Linked DNA regions of Caenorhabditis elegans. The protein of the gene in region 1 interacts with the protein of each later gene in a pairwise test. Each region holds a gene or a part of one and is shown in the gene's direction. Other genes may lie near its edges.

Region 1 (7,196 bases):
AATTTTAATTAAATTTTAAATAATTAAATTTCAGTTTAAAAGTTTTGCCATACCCGCCGTGTGCATGCAGTAAATTCTGGCGGCAATAGCAATCGCGCCCAACATGAAAACTCCAGCTAGAGCAATTGGATTTTCTTTGAAAAATCGAGCCAATAGTAGGGCTTTATCGTTCGGATCCATTTTATCTTGCTTCGTCTCGTCCCACTCGTCGATTAATTTTCCGAGAACGCGAGGTGTGAAGAGGAAAATCGAACTACTAATGCCGAGAAATGAAATTCCGACTGAAAAAATCGATAAATTTAGGACTTTATTCAGATAATTCTCGAAACATACGCATAATTCGCCATTTATAAGGACCTGCGAGTGATAAAATCGCTTTCAAATCTTTCCAACTCGCATTTTTCAGCTTATACGATTCCCTTTTTGTTTCCACTACACTGACCTGAAAATAATTTATATTTATTATAGAATTCCTTGTAAACTTACATTTCTAAACGCTTGTTTTGACTTTATTAGTGTGCTTTTTAAAAATCCCGTTGATCGTCCAACTTGTGGCGCGAAACAAAATAATCTGAAATATGAGAGCTTCAAATTAGATTTTAAAAGACACAACTAATTACCTGGTTGAGCTAGAAGGTATTGAAGAACATTTCGAACAACATAACCGGCTCAAATGTGATAAAAGTGACATGTGGAAAGCTGAAAAACTTGAAAATGACGCAATTATCTTCAAAACAGACAAAAATTTACAAGATTTTAATTGAATTAGTGAAAAACTAATCTGAAATTTATATTTTCCACAAATTAAATCGAAAATATGGTAAATTTTCCGGTAAAAACGAATTAAAAACGTGGAATTTTTCTGAAAATTCATTAAAAATGCGAGAAAATCGAGAGATGCGCCAGAGGGGCTGCTGGCGCATTTCCAGTTTTGCTGGCGCATATCTCGATATTGGAGGGAATTCAAATATGTTTTTGGAAAATTGAAATTTTTGAGGGGGATTCACGAATTAGTTGATGGAAAACGTGAATTTCAATTGGACCACAACAATTACAATTACAAATAAAAGAAAAACAACGTTTTTCTTTTATTTAACAATTATGAAGCTGGCAGCAAAGGTGAGTTTTTTCAATGTTTGTGTTTAAATCTACCAAATTTCCATCAGACCTTCACACCAAGCACCGCAGATCTTCCCTTCACAGATGCAGGTGCGAGCGAAGACTCGGGTATGGCCAATAAGCCCGGTGAGCCCGCTTTCCAGTTGTGGCTCGACGTGAAAAAGGTGTGAAAATGAGGTTCCCATGAGAATGGATTGGATAAAATCTTTATTCCAGGTGGTATTTCCAACCACTTCAGAACCATCCTATGTGAATCTCCGACTTCACAATCCGACAGACAAGAGAATCACATTCAAAGTTCGTTGCACTTCAGCGGAGCTGTTCCGTGTTCAACCGCCGATTGCATTCATCAATGCCGGTGCAACTGTCAATCTTGTGATGTGGAGCGCCAACACCCACCTGCAGCCGGAGAAGAAGCATTATTTCGCATTTTACCACAAAAATGCGTCTCCGAGTGCTCGTCAGTCTCCGCCACTATGGAAGGATGGGCTGAAAGACGCGGAAGGTGCGGCTGGCATAGAATTTTCAGAAAAAAATCTTTAATTTCAGGAGTTCGTCGTATCCCTGTCGTCTTCCTTCCTCCATCATCGTAGAAAGGAACGCTAATAAGAATTTTTACATTGAATTTAACGATCTAAAATTCATTTTTTGTAAATGCCACCAAATAAAACGTTCACTTGTGTTTTATGGATTTCGAAAGCGATTTATGAAAAATTATCGTTCTTTATCACGTAAACAGTCACAGGCAAAGCGGAAAGTGCCCAAAACGGTCCGTTCATGGACCGGGAACGGCTCAAATTTAAGAACGGTTCACGGTTCGATTCCCGGTCCGTCAACGGACCGTAATTGAACCGTAAGGAGACTAAAAAATTGGAAAATTTTTTCACCCTCCAGCTGCCCCCTTTTTCTTTCCCAATGCTCCACCGAGCTCCGGTCTTGCTCCAGACCGTCTTCCGGTGATCCTTCGTTGTAGCAATTCTATCTGCCTCAGCCGGTGTTGAACTTGTCCTCTGCCTGTCGATTGATTACTGGCCCATCACCTTACCATTTGGCCGTTCGCGCACGCGAGGAAAATCAATGGACTTCGCATAAATAGCGATCAGCTTGCGCTCGCGCATTTTCTTCTGGTTTTCACGTCTTACACCAACTTTTTCGATTGTATTTTCAGTAGTTTCTGATTCTCCATCTTGCCGTTGGACTTATATGAAAGCGAACGATAACAATTGACAGTTTCGTGTAGTTCAGAACTTATTTCGCATATTTCTTAACATCTACCTATACGTGCTCCATCTACTTGTAATATAGAAGTGGTACTTACCATATTTCCTCCATTAGTCTTGCATGCAAGATTAATTTTCGATTGGACCGGGTTGCAATACTAATAGAGGAAATAAGGTATATGCGTTCTACTTGAATGATACCTTAATTTCTTAAAATACACACGGAACAGAAACGATATGATTCCAGAATGTATTGTTAGTAAAATATTTTATGATATTTCAAAAAATGCTCCTGTTGCTCAGCTGAAGAAGACCAGCAGAGAGAGTGAACGTTGCGTATACACAGTATCTACCCAATTGTGGCATTTCATCTTTTTTATTGATATGTTTATAGGATTACATTAATATAACCTCTTTTACACACAATGTCATGCTTAATAGCCTCAGTTAGATCGCATGCGATTACGGGCCGCGTACGGACCAGTTGGACGGATGATAGACAAAATGGTTGCCCAGAGGAATTTTTTTTTCATGAAAATTGAGTTTTTGAAGTACCCACAATGCTATTTGGTCCATTGTAGCCAGTTGGCTAATTTTTTGCCGGATTCAAGGTTTAGTTTTAAAAAGTGCAGTTTTGCCGACGGGGACGGTTAATTTACGGACCATCTACGGACCGGCTACGGCCGAACTACGGATGATCACCAAAACGGAGGATAATACGAAACATTTTTTTCATGAAAATGGAGTTTTTGACGTGCCTACACTCTCCTTTGGCTAATTTGAGCACTTTTTCCGTGCTAGAACCTGAAATTTTCAAAAACAAAAATTTGATGCCCGGGACGGTTCATTTACGGTCCGTCTACGGGCCGGCGACGGACCGTCTACGGACCGGAAACGGCCCAACTACGGCTCAAGAGCCATCTCGGTCGGTAAATGTGGTTTTTGCTCTAAATAATGCATTTAACGACGTAAAAATGCTTGAATTAGCCAACTGGTATCATAGGTATTAAAAAATTCGTTTTCTTAAAATCCATTTTTTCCTCTTAATGGCCATTTTTTACATTCCCCGTAGTTTGCCCGTAATTGGTCCGTCCCGCTTTTCATATCCGTAGTTCGCCCGTTAATGGTCCGTTCCCGGTCCAAGATCCGTAAACGGACCGTACCCGCTTTGCCTGTGAGTGTGAAAAAAAGACATTGAAGCTTAATGTTCTGAAAATGCATATTAAAAGAAATATTTTTCCGGGAGCCATCAGACATTGAGGAACGAGAAACTCCAGAGAATTCAAATTTGTGGAAAAGTAGGCGGAGTCCATCTTTCAGGTTTATCAGTTCAACCAGTAATTACATGAAACAAGCACAAAAAAGAAGGTCTTCATTTTTTTTGTTGTAAATCTTAACATTCTGTTGTTTTTGAAAAATAATGTAAAGGAGCTCCACCCATTTTCTCACCAGCATGAAAGTTGGGAAAACAATTGTCACGTGACGTGTCTGATGCAGTCGCGCCCAACTGATAAAGTGTTCCGGCGCCAATGTTTTTTTTTTCAATTTAAATTTTAAAATTAATAATTTTTATCAATTTCCATTTTTTTAACGCATTTTTCATACGAAAAACAAAAAATTTTCAGACATGAGTTATCGGATACGCTTTTCCCTAATACCAGTTGGCGTTGCCCTGATTGCTGTACTTCTGAAGGCATCAGGATGGACTCTTTATCGAAAGAATATGGCGTTTGAACGAGTCGATAAGCAGATTCAAATGGATATTGAACGGCTTTTTCTAAATACGTAGGTTATAATAACATGAAACGTTTTAGAAATTGATTTTGAGATTGTCAAGGCTTGCGGATTTCAATATGGACTTGCCGGAAAAAATCACGATTCTAAAAATGGAAAACGAAGAGGGAAATACATTCAGCGAACCGTTTCTCGTCGGCAATTCGGTTAGAAGAATGCCTAAATAATATTTAAAATGGAAATTCTCAGTGGGAAGTTCGCGCCTATCATTATGCTGGTGAAGGACTTTCAAAATGGTGCTCAGGATTCGCTTCGAGGACTACTCGACAGTATTTTGATTACAAAAATCGGCGAATCGATGTGACGTTCGACTGCAACTCCAAAAATGGTTTTTTGCTAGTAGTATTAGTATTAAAATTATTTTAAAAATTTTCCAGTTTTTCCTCCTCTTCGAACAATCATCGGCGCCGTTCTAACTGGAATGTTCTTCATCGCGACGCTTTTGGTTTTCAGATTGTTTTCAGCAAGATTGTAGGATTTTTTTCAGAAAATATCTGTTAAAATGTTCATATTTTTCAGTCAAATTCGTAGTGGTGCTACCATGGATGCAAAAGAAACACCGATTTCCTTCGAAGAATCGTTTTTGGAAATAATCGAAAAATGGGATTCTGCAAATATCGATTCCGGTTTTGAATAACTCACATATGTACTTATTTGTGTGTGTAATTTTTATTGATTTTTGTTAACTAATATGTACATTTCCCATTTATTCACTTTTATTCTCACTAGTGAGAGAACTCGAATTATTAAATATTTACGAGTCCATTATATCTTCTATAACTCGCATTACAAGATCCTTTGGCAATTTCGCTACTTTCGGAGCCACGAGAAGTAGATGCAAATCCTTTTGCATTCTCTGCTGACGTTCGAGAACATCAATAATTTGAATTAATTGGGCGAAATGCGGGGGACCATCAGACCGGCTTCGGAGACAATAATTAAAAAGAGCATCTGCATATTTTACTCGCTCCAGTGAGATGATTTCCTGGGATTTGGCGGAGAGATCGGGGACGGCTGGAAAATTCCCTTTCCCCTTTAAATGTTGCGATTTCTGAAGCTCTACTACGGTACCAGGTACACGAGATAAAATATTCAAACGATTTTTAATTCGTTATTTTTTAATTTTCGTAAAAAAAGGTTTCTAAAAAAGGATCGATAAAATTGCGAACAAACAAGGAAATATTACAAAACCCTAAAATTGTGAGAATGCGTATTGCGCAACATATTTGACGCACAAAATATCTCGTAGCGAAAACTACAGAAATACTTTAGAAGACTTGTCGATTTACGGGCTCGATTTTTGAAAAGCAACAAATGGAGGCCCCACGAAAAGGGGAGCAGAACGAAAAGGGGATCTGCAAAAAGGGGATCTGCGAAAAGGGGAGATACGAAAAGGGGAGATACGAAAAGGGGAGCAACGAAAAGGGGAGCTGGCACTGTGCCAAACGCACAAAACGCAATTTTTCTCACGCAACGCACGTTGTTTTTTGAAATTTTCTTCTAGAAGATACGCTTAACAACACGCGATGCGTAACATCGGAGCATCGTTGTATCGTTTTCTTCGAGAAAAATAGCGTTTGGCACAGTGCCAGATCCCCTTTTCGTATCTCCCCTTTTTGCAGATCCCCTTTTCGTTCTGCTCCCCTTTTCGTGGGGCCTCAACAAATGAGTCGAGCCCGTAAATCGACAAAAGTGCTACAGTAGTCATCTAAAGTATTGCTGTAGTTTTCACTACGAAATATTTTGTGCGTCAAATATGTTGCGCAATACGCATTCTCAGAGTTTTATGTTCCCGTAATATAAAAAAATACTTTTTTGCAGCTTATCCCAAAAACCTTCGGTCGTGTCGAGACCGTATTATTGCATCGCAAAATAATTACCTGGATTACATAATACAATGGCTTTCAGTAACAAATATTCAATATTTTTAATTTGACAACGGATCAACGGTGCAACAGACATCACAGAAGCCGAATAATGGGTATCGCTGAAAATATTCAAGATTTTTTTTTCAGAATTAACTATTCGCTGCAAAAGTAATTGTACACTTCTCCTCGAGCAGTACGCGTAAAGCCAGGACTCACTTGAAAGTCATGGGTTCCGATCCGTCAGGCTCAATGATAACCTCTAAATTCCTTCTAATCGATGAGTACGAGATATGAAGGTTCGTACAAGCCAATGCCACGTGCCTAGTTAGAATCAGCTTGTCTCGAGAGCTGAGTCGATGAAAGAACATGAACGTTTTGGCGTATTCGACAGTTGTCAGTAAATTGTAGAAGAACCATTGTTTTCTGAACAATAGAACAAATTTCGTGTGAAAGTGGTGAATTTCCAGTTCAACTTACATGTTTTGACTGTGTTGTGAGTCTCTCGGTTTCCCTGGGGATGGTGGTTTCGGTAGTCTTGGCGGACCTAGCTGATCCCTTCGAAGAGGCCATCCGGGCATAGGCTGAAATTTGAACAGGATTGAAGAATATGCATAAATCATTTTCAACTTACCCCGAATCTATCGCCAAATCCGATCCTACACTCCGACTCCAGCAGGTACTCCAGCCCGCTGAACTCATTCCAATGCGGGTTATACGCGGATTTTCGAAATCTTTCAACTTTTGTCTCCAAGTAAACCAGCATGTCGGTTATGTTTTGCATTTTGCTTTCTATAGAATCGACTGGTTTTACAATTTGCATTTTATTAACAACAGCCGTCACTTGACAGTCATCATCCGGCTCTAGATCCTGCGCTCGTTTCACTAGTTTCTTAAAGTTTGACGACGACGCTGCTTTCTCATCAACTTCCATTGCAAGGGGGTTCATTCCGACAGATATGCATTTTTGATGGCGGCATGCACGGCATTTTAGAGGCACTTCTGAAAATGTAGATCAACTAAGTTTTTATAAGAGCTGGAAAGGACTTGGGTTCGGTAATTAGACAAAATAGTATGTTTCGTACTTCAACCAGTATTGTTTTGCTAGTAGCTAATTTAACTGAACACGTGGTGTCCAAGTGTCTCATTTCGGCTTGATCTACGTAGATCTACAAAAAATGCGGGAGATGAGACGCAG
Region 2 (8,523 bases), on another chromosome or scaffold:
TAAGGGAATTTGTCGTTTCTAGGTCCATATCTATCTGAAAACAATGCACAATTTTGGGAATAAAAACATAATGAATTCACAATTAGAACTACATTTCAACTGTTAGGCTAATTAAAGGTTCATAATAACTTCAAAAAAAGACGTATCTATGCTATCTGAAAGCTTATGCTCCGACTATGTCTCTAAAAACGTCATCGCGGTGGAAATAAACTCTGAACTGAAACGTTCAGTTTAATACAGATCGTTAGATTCCACATTCTTATAAAGAGTAAAGCTATATCCTATTTTTGGAGGAGTTCCTTAACTCTTTCTAATCTTCATCCTTGTACTTCTGAACAGATTGATTTGTCAGAATATTATATGATAAACTTTTGATGTCTCATGTGTCAACATGTGCACCTCGTTCGAATGGACCTTGACCTGTGGGTGTTTGAAAGAGATAAAAAGTGATATTAAACATTTCTCGAGGCAAAGGAACGTTGTTTTCCTTCCTATTTTAAGAATTTCCTTCAAATACGTCTTGCCAACTTGATGTTCGTATCTAATTGAAGAAAAATGTGTAGTTAGCATGACCAACTGTCAAAGTTGGCGGGACAAATAACAATCAAAAGATCAGTAAAAGTGCTCACTTATAATTAGTAAGAAAAGACAAGAGTTAGAGATCCCACGTCCCAATATCAAGTTTCGAGCAAAAAGTGTTCTATGCTTTGAGTCATTTGGGATAAAGGAAGGAGCACATATTTCATGTGAAGAAGACATTCGCGTCTTTGAAAAATATTTAGAATAATATATCTGGTACGGGCGTCATAAAAGGATAGAAGAGGACAGTTCGAGATTATAGTAATGGAAATGGAAAGATCTTTGAATAGGGAATATTATTTGAAATCTGAAAAAAACGTATTTGTTTGCATATTTATTTGGGCATTTATATTAAATTTAAATATTTGTGATTCTTCCTCTCATTACCGCTCATTTTTCATTCTTCTTTTCCTGGCGACATTGTGAGTGTAGATTAAATAAATAGACCGAAAGATTTTTGATCAATTAAATTGAAGAGATAAGCAGGCGAGCTGATCAAGCTAGCAAGGAACATATGTCCTGTCATTTTCCTGATCGTTGAAATTTTTTTTGGAAATCTTGCAATTTTCAGGAAATTGCAATAACAAAAAAGTTTTACAAAAAAATGGTAAAGTATTCAATGGCAACTTGTAAGCATAAACAATATTTCCTCCAGTGGGGTTAATTTATCGTATTTGTGTAATTGACTCTTGTATTCTACGCCCTGGAAAATTTTACCAAGCAAAATGTAGCTGTTGAGCAACTAAACCATCTATCAACAATCTGGTGAATTCTAAAAACTTCCATTAAGGTTTTAAAGCAGTTCGCGCCAGAGTATTGTCAGCTCTTAGAAAATTGTGCCAAATACCGACGTAACTGGCGAAGAGTTGGGGAAAAGTGCAAGTGGGGAGCGGGCGACTAAAATTATTAAAGAAATAAATAAACTGGACTCCCAATCAGTTCTGTATTTACTTCCCGAATCTCTAAATTCATTCAGAGAAAATCCTCGTTCTCAAACAAGCCCAAGTTTATCTGGCGGAATATTCCAGAAAACATCAAGAAAAACATACTCTTTTGTTCAGAATTATTCTGATCAGCGACCGTCAATCTGTACTACGTTGAAAACATATGTTTTGATAGTAATTTCTAATTTTTAATTCATCAGTTATTTTCTTGTTCTATTTTTCGCAAAAATTAATAGACCAAATAGACCATCTATCAGTGTCTTTACGTCAAAAATGAATCGAATGTTGCGAATCAATGATTACCTGAAAAATAACACTTTCCCACTGCAATATTTCTGTTTTTCAAAGACACTGATTTTTCGTCTTTTTTTCTTTTTTTTGTTCTTTTTTATTTTCTGGTTTTCTGTTTTTCGATTCACTCTTTTGATAAACTATTTCAATATCAGCAGTGCATCTTCGTGTCCGAAAAGTTCACGAAAACATTTTTTGGAAGAAAACGATGTTTGATGTATACGTTGTAATTTTTAAAGATCACAATTTCTTCACATGAATTTCAGTTTTTCAGTTGTTTTTGAAATTTGATTCGACATAGTAAAGCAGCAAAATTTACTGCAACTAGTGAGAGGGCAATGAAGGATTCCAATATGAGAAAAGGGAACAACTGACTGGGGGTTCAGATACAGGAATAAGTATTTTTGCTACTAGAAAATACAAAAAATTTCAACGATCCAGGAAAAAGTTTCGAAAAACATTTTTTAACTGAAAAATTCGTCATTGAATGTTCAAAAATATTAGTTTTTTCTCGAGAATATTTTTTTGAAATGATCTCACATTGCTCTCAAATCAAAAAACTTCACAACAATTAATCACTTCCAAACCTGCATGTCTACTGCTAACTCGGCAAATCGCCGCAACTTATCCACCAACTTTAGAAACTTTAGAAATGCCAAGCGCAGAAGTTGCTAAAATTTGGTAAAAACGTTGCTAAAGTTGGGCAAATTAGGTTAAAGTCGGGGATACCCTCAAAATTTGCACTGAAAATTTTTTTAAGATTGGCTAAACTTGGTTAAAAAGTTGCTAAAGTCGGGAAAGAAGTTGCTAAAGACAGATTAAAAGTTGCGAGAATATAAAATTGGTAGAAAAGTTGCTAATGTTGGCGGATAAGTTGCGGAAGGGTAAAGTTGGCGCTTAAGTTGCTAAAGTTAAGTTGCTAAAGTTAAGATAAGTTGCGACGAATTGCCGAGTAAAGCACATGGAAAACATCACTTCGTTTCTCAATCGAACTTTCAGTGAATTAATCGAAATGATCAAATGACTATTAGGAAATTAGGAATGCGCACCAACGAAGCACTACAGAAAACAGGCGGGCCCGTAGGCAGGCAGGCACGAGGGAAGAAAAATAAACGTTCCTACAATGGAAGTTTCCATATTGAACATCCAAGATGAAAAATAAACTTTGTACATTAATCTGTACAAATGTTTGTACCAAATGGACCTTGACCTGGTGGGTGTTAGAAGATATGATGATACAAATGAAAAAATTCCCTGAAGCATTTGAACGTCACCCTAATGATATTTTATATATATTCAGTTGTTAATTCACAAGTCATCTTTCATATTTAAAAAAATTGACAATTGACAAAATGCTGCATTCCAGATTTTTGACAATTGACAAACAAGTGACTCACAACTTTTCATGAAACAAAGTTTAGAAAGAAAATAATTTCCACGAATTTTTCTACATTTTACAATGTGTTTCTTTGCCCGAAAATGCCCGGGAACATTCATATAAAAGATTAAACCTACAATAGAAGGGTATGAACTGGCAACATTTTCTCATAATGCAAGCAATATAATTTTGAAATCAAATTCTGAGTTTAAAAAATTGTATGCTTGTTAAAACTATTTACATTTTGAGTTTTTCATGTGAAATGCGCCCATTTCTGCAACTGCCGCACGGTTTTGAAACTGTATTTTTCTTGTTAATTCTCGCTCTATTGAGAAAAATACAGTTTCGAAACCGTGCGCAGTTGCAGAAATGGCGTATTGCAAGCCACGGTTCTGTGGGCGGGCCAATCCCCCGAGTTGTAATCCCCCCAATTGACATCCCCCGAGTTCTTCGGGTCTCAATAAATCTATTTTTAAAAAATTCTTGGTTGGAGGTTTTGGGTTTTAACCTTCGTTACTTCTGGTAAAGAAGCTACGTGAAGAAATAAACTTGTTGGGAATTGTGGAGTTGTGAAAACTATGAGCCACATCACCCTAGAACTGGATTTATGCAAAAACGCGTGCATGACGCATTGAATATAAAAATTGTCTCAAAATAGTAGGTGAAAATCATAACAGTCTTTAGGGAAACTTTTCATGAGGACAAAAAAACCGTATTTTGGTAATATAACAATCAGGGCTGCCCGGCATACCGAATGAAAATCTGAACCATCAATCTATGAAAGTCTGCAATCGAGCAGTGAATTTTTGAATAAAAATCGTCATTTCATGAAGCATACTTGTTTATTACTGCATTAAATCCCGTATAACATAAACCTTAATTTGAAGCATGTTTGAGCTTTAAGTACTCTTTTAAGCCAAATTGAGTTTATCAAATACAGTCAAACCCAGTTTGGCGAAGGCGAATGTCGAATTTTCGCGTTCACCGCACAGCCCTGGATAGTTTGTTTGATTAAAGTTGTACACCTCTGCTGAACAATGTGTTGAAGATGGGATGCTGAAATAAACAAGTTTTGCTATTTACATATTTAAAATGTTCATAATTTTCCAAATTTTTGCGCGCTGTTTTCTCAAACTACTGTCAAACTACAAACTACTGTCATACTACTGTTTTGAACATTCCGTAAGAAATTTTTCGTAAGAAATTTAAGAAATTTTTCATTTTAACATTGAAAAAAAAAAACAAAAATTTTGTTTAGATGGAAAAAATTACGCCGAGGCATAGGTCAAGGTCGCATACACGACAAAAGGTCACATACACAAGAAAAAAACAAATACTCCGGAATGAGTTATTTCGAACATTTTTCCGCCGCTCGCACATTCTCAAGGTTAGTATCATTTTTGGATGAGTCTACGTGCACCAACACAATTAAATCGCGGTTTTTATATTGTACATACCTTCAGACATACAAAAGGCACATTCGCAAAGTACAAACGTATATAAATTATAAATCGCGATTTGTGGCTTGCACAAGTTTTCGATCGCGATTCATGTATAATACGCAAATAATACATGCACATTCGCAAAAGGTGTATTGTACGCAAATTACCGTATTTCTTCTATCAGCATGGTTGCAATACTGTTTTTCGAAGGTCATCCCGCTTGCCATATATTTTTTTTCTATTAGGGAGTGCAAGACTAACTAATAAGGAGAGGTTTTTTGTACAACACATAATCAGCGAATCAATTGTGAAAGTAAATCTCAGAAGAACAACATCTTTGAAGATGGCAAAGGGAACATCAAAGTTGAAACTTACTTCTCAAAAAATGTGGAACTGCAAAGTGACAATTTTTTCAAAAAGTTCATAAATCTAATTATTCCATCGGTATATCTTCAAAAAAAACCATTCGTTTCTCTTGGTTTTTTGTTTTTTTGAAGGTTCGATAAGTAGCAGAAAACACTTTCAGGCAGTTTTTGTTGCAATTTTATCTCTTCTCTTAATCTCTCTTAATCTTAATCCTCAATTCTCTTAATCTCTTAATCTTAATCTCTTGTTCATGAACAAATGAAAGAATATTCAAACTATAAATAAATTGGATGGTCAAATAATTAATTAGTACATCACCTGAAACAATTTATGTATTGTTCAGCTCAGCAACTATGTCAAGAGATCGGCCGAATAAGATTAAACTTCCACACCGACCAGGCTACACAACTTACCTGCAAACAGGAGATCTCACGTCTACCGACGGAGAAGAGGGCGTTTATTCGCTGAAACTTATTACAGGATATACACGTGAAGAAGTCAGTTTTCAACAAGCACCACATATTACAGCTCATATTTTTAATGTTTCAGCCCGAAATTCTTGATGATGTTCTGGATCCATCTGGTGGTTCTTCAAGCAGTCAAAGATCTAATGATCCACTCTTGCCAGCCAGTACCAACCATGTGAGTCTAATTTCTTATAGTAAAAGTTATAAATGTGTAACTGTCAATTTCATATTTTTAATGTTTCAGCCCGAAATTTTTGATGATGTTCTGGATCCATCTGGTGGTTCTTCAAGCAGTCAAAGATCTAATGATCCACTCTTGCCAGCCAGTACCTTCAAACTTAGTTGTGTCGACTGCAAAAAACAATACAATGTTTCAAAATCAATGAAGAGTCAGGCTCGTAAGCGTAAAATTCGACAAGATATGGAAGCAGAAGACGATATGCTTGATGGAACTGGACTGCATCGAATGGCTCTTGTGAACGTGAACACCACTATGCCACAGGAAGCAAAAGCACTGGAGGAATTGTCGAAAAAACTGGTGTAAGTGAGAAAAACTCGTCTAGTTAGTATAGTTCGATTAACTATTCAATTCTATGGAAATTAACTATTTTCATGAATTCATACATTTTCAGAATCAGCGCAACATTGACTGGATATGATTCTGTTCCCATCAATACGCCAAGCAAAAGTCCCCAAGTTCTTTATTTCCAAGTAAAAACACATGCGGAGTTCGATTTGGTTCAAGAAAAGATGGACAAAAACTTCATTTCTCAACTTGAAATCGAGTCACTTGTGAAGAGCAACGAACCTTTCCTATTTCCGTATGGAAGAAGAAGACACGTCTTCACAAGCATCTTATTGGCTACATAGTAAGATTCAACCATTTCCTTGCTGTTAATATAATTAAATATAAATTGCAGCTTGAGCTTGTGTTCTGATGAAGCAAACAATATTGATGACTGGAAGGATCTTCTTCGAAATAATGCGATCATCAAAAAAGCTGTCGAACACAGTGACACAATGCAAAAAATGAAAAAAGTGAGTCATATAATCGTAATTAGGTTAAAAAATATAATATTTCAGTATTTGTCAGTGGACGGACGAACTATGCTCAATTTTTATAAGGAGACTCTTTAAGTCCTGTGATTCCTGCCCAACAACTCGCAATGAAGAAACAACTACTCGTCGTAAACTTGATCTAGCTATGTTTTAGGTGCTCATGAATGAATGATTTTTGAATATTTTTTCAGCATTTAGACAAACATAAAACAGGCAAACAGGGCACATGAAAAGTCGATGAAATTTGATTTCCAACCTTAATTTAATTTCTTTCTTGCAAGTTATAGAAACTGTTCCATCTCCTTCTCTGCTTCATCTACTCATCTCTGTCATAACTGATCATATTTTGAAAAAGAAATTCACGTGAATTCATCATGATCTGTTTGCTCCTCCGTTTCCCCGTTGTCTCGAATGTTGATCATGAAAAAAACGACGGGATTCGTATTTATTTTTATTTGCACAAAACATGAAGAAAGACTCAGAGAACCGGAGTATTTGGGAGGAAATTGGTAAAAAGAGAGAACAGGAGCAAAACAGTTGTAAGAGATCGAGATATACATAAAATTGAGTGATTGAAATTTCACAAAAATTCGAAAATAAAAATAATTATGTGTCTCCTGAAGCTACATCTTGACTTGGCCGATGCTCGACGACAATTGGTTCTGGTGACGAAACACTACGTTTCCGGCGGATTTCAGGTGATATTCTATTTGATGATTGACGTTTTGGACAACATAACCCAGTTGCATACCAAAACATTGACCTGAAATTATAAAAAGTAGAAAGAAAATAAATTTTCCAAGTACCATAAAATATGCCCAACTGTAAACCATAGAGCCATATTGTATCCAATAAAACTCAAAAGTTCATAGATATTTGGATCTTTGGAGACCAGAATTTCTGTTGTTCTCATAGTACTGTACTCCAAAACCAAACGGGAAACATAATCCTGAAAAATGCTAACTTGAATAAACATTTCTACAATATAATCTGTAATTTTACAACTTACCTGAGTGGTTCTGTATTCTTCCGGAAGATCATATCCTTCAATTGTTCCTGGATATGAAGTGATCAAACAACTTCTCTGATTATCATTTCTACATTTCTTTGCGTCTTCATAACCAGGAAGATCCTTTGGAATATCTTCTTCCCAATTTTCAATTCTCGTCAGATCTATGTAACGGCGAGCACAGTTGTCATAGGCATCAACGCTGCACACACTTGTTTGGGTTACTCGCAGCAAGAAATCACTGAAATTTATACTAATTTTTGAAGTCGGGAATTTTCAAAAAGTGGTGTAACGAATCACTGTTATGTTCCAATACTAAAAATGGCACAGAAAAGGCAGAATTTAATAACAAAAAATCTTGAAAATTGAGATGGTTGCTCGGACGTTCTACCACTTTGTATGAGGTTCTCAAACTTTATAATTATTTTCTGAGAAATTAGTTACTAGGCATAAAAATTGAAATTCAACAGTATCCATGTACCAGTACAGTTCCAATACACCAACACTTCTACAGTAATCCTTCAGCAATCAGACACCACACCCAGTAATCGAACATTTCATTCATTTTAGAAATTTGGAAATAAACTCACCGATAAGACGATGGGTCGTAATGAATAAGTTCAGCCATAAGTGGATGACAACTACAATATCTCATTGCCACCAACATATTACACATTAGATAATTGGTATGATTGTTCTTGAATGCATGTTCATCGCTTCTACGTGCATCTCCTAACGCGTATCCACAAGAAGTACGTCTGATATCGGCCTTTTTCTGAAATTTTTTTAAAATTAATGTGCACGAGTTTAGAAAAATCCTGATTTTCTAAAGTTACTCTGAAAAAATGTTTTAGCCCCCTACACCTCACAGGCTTTGTTTTGAGCCCCCGAGGCGAATCGCATTTTGTCGGTTATCTTATTTTTTATCTCCACAATGGACAAACTTACAGTTTTTCTCATTTGCAGTCTGACACCTCGTTTATCTAAT

Evidence for each region.
Region 2: the proteins of F57A10.4 (region 1) and F26A3.5 interact in a two-hybrid assay, tested with the Caenorhabditis elegans proteins (one large-scale study listed by BioGRID).

Annotation. Positions count from the first base shown.
Region 1 is NC_003283.11:15,765,474-15,772,669, forward strand, and holds F57A10.4 (Sensor histidine kinase), read left to right. Parts: upstream 1-3,964; 5' UTR 3,965-3,966; coding exon 3,967-4,124; intron 4,125-4,167; coding exon 4,168-4,279; intron 4,280-4,322; coding exon 4,323-4,461; intron 4,462-4,510; coding exon 4,511-4,604; intron 4,605-4,652; coding exon 4,653-4,770; 3' UTR 4,771-4,887; downstream 4,888-7,196. Other genes in the region: haf-3 (ABC transmembrane type-1 domain-containing protein), read right to left, coding at 54-281, 334-442, 487-571, 621-691; F57A10.2 (Major sperm protein), read left to right, coding at 1,102-1,119, 1,167-1,283, 1,336-1,624, 1,669-1,712; Nuclear hormone receptor family member nhr-60, read right to left, coding at 4,888-5,147, 6,014-6,120, 6,218-6,424, 6,479-6,582, 6,633-7,000.
Region 2 is NC_003279.8:7,663,194-7,671,716, forward strand, and holds F26A3.5 (DDE_Tnp_1_7 domain-containing protein), read left to right. Parts: upstream 1-4,535; coding exon 4,536-4,579; intron 4,580-5,343; coding exon 5,344-5,497; intron 5,498-5,549; coding exon 5,550-5,642; intron 5,643-5,711; coding exon 5,712-6,007; intron 6,008-6,099; coding exon 6,100-6,336; intron 6,337-6,387; coding exon 6,388-6,505; intron 6,506-6,550; coding exon 6,551-6,604; 3' UTR 6,605-6,707; downstream 6,708-8,523. Other genes in the region: del-3 (DEgenerin Like), read right to left, coding at 7,133-7,289, 7,333-7,475, 7,536-7,776, 8,126-8,310, 8,484-8,523.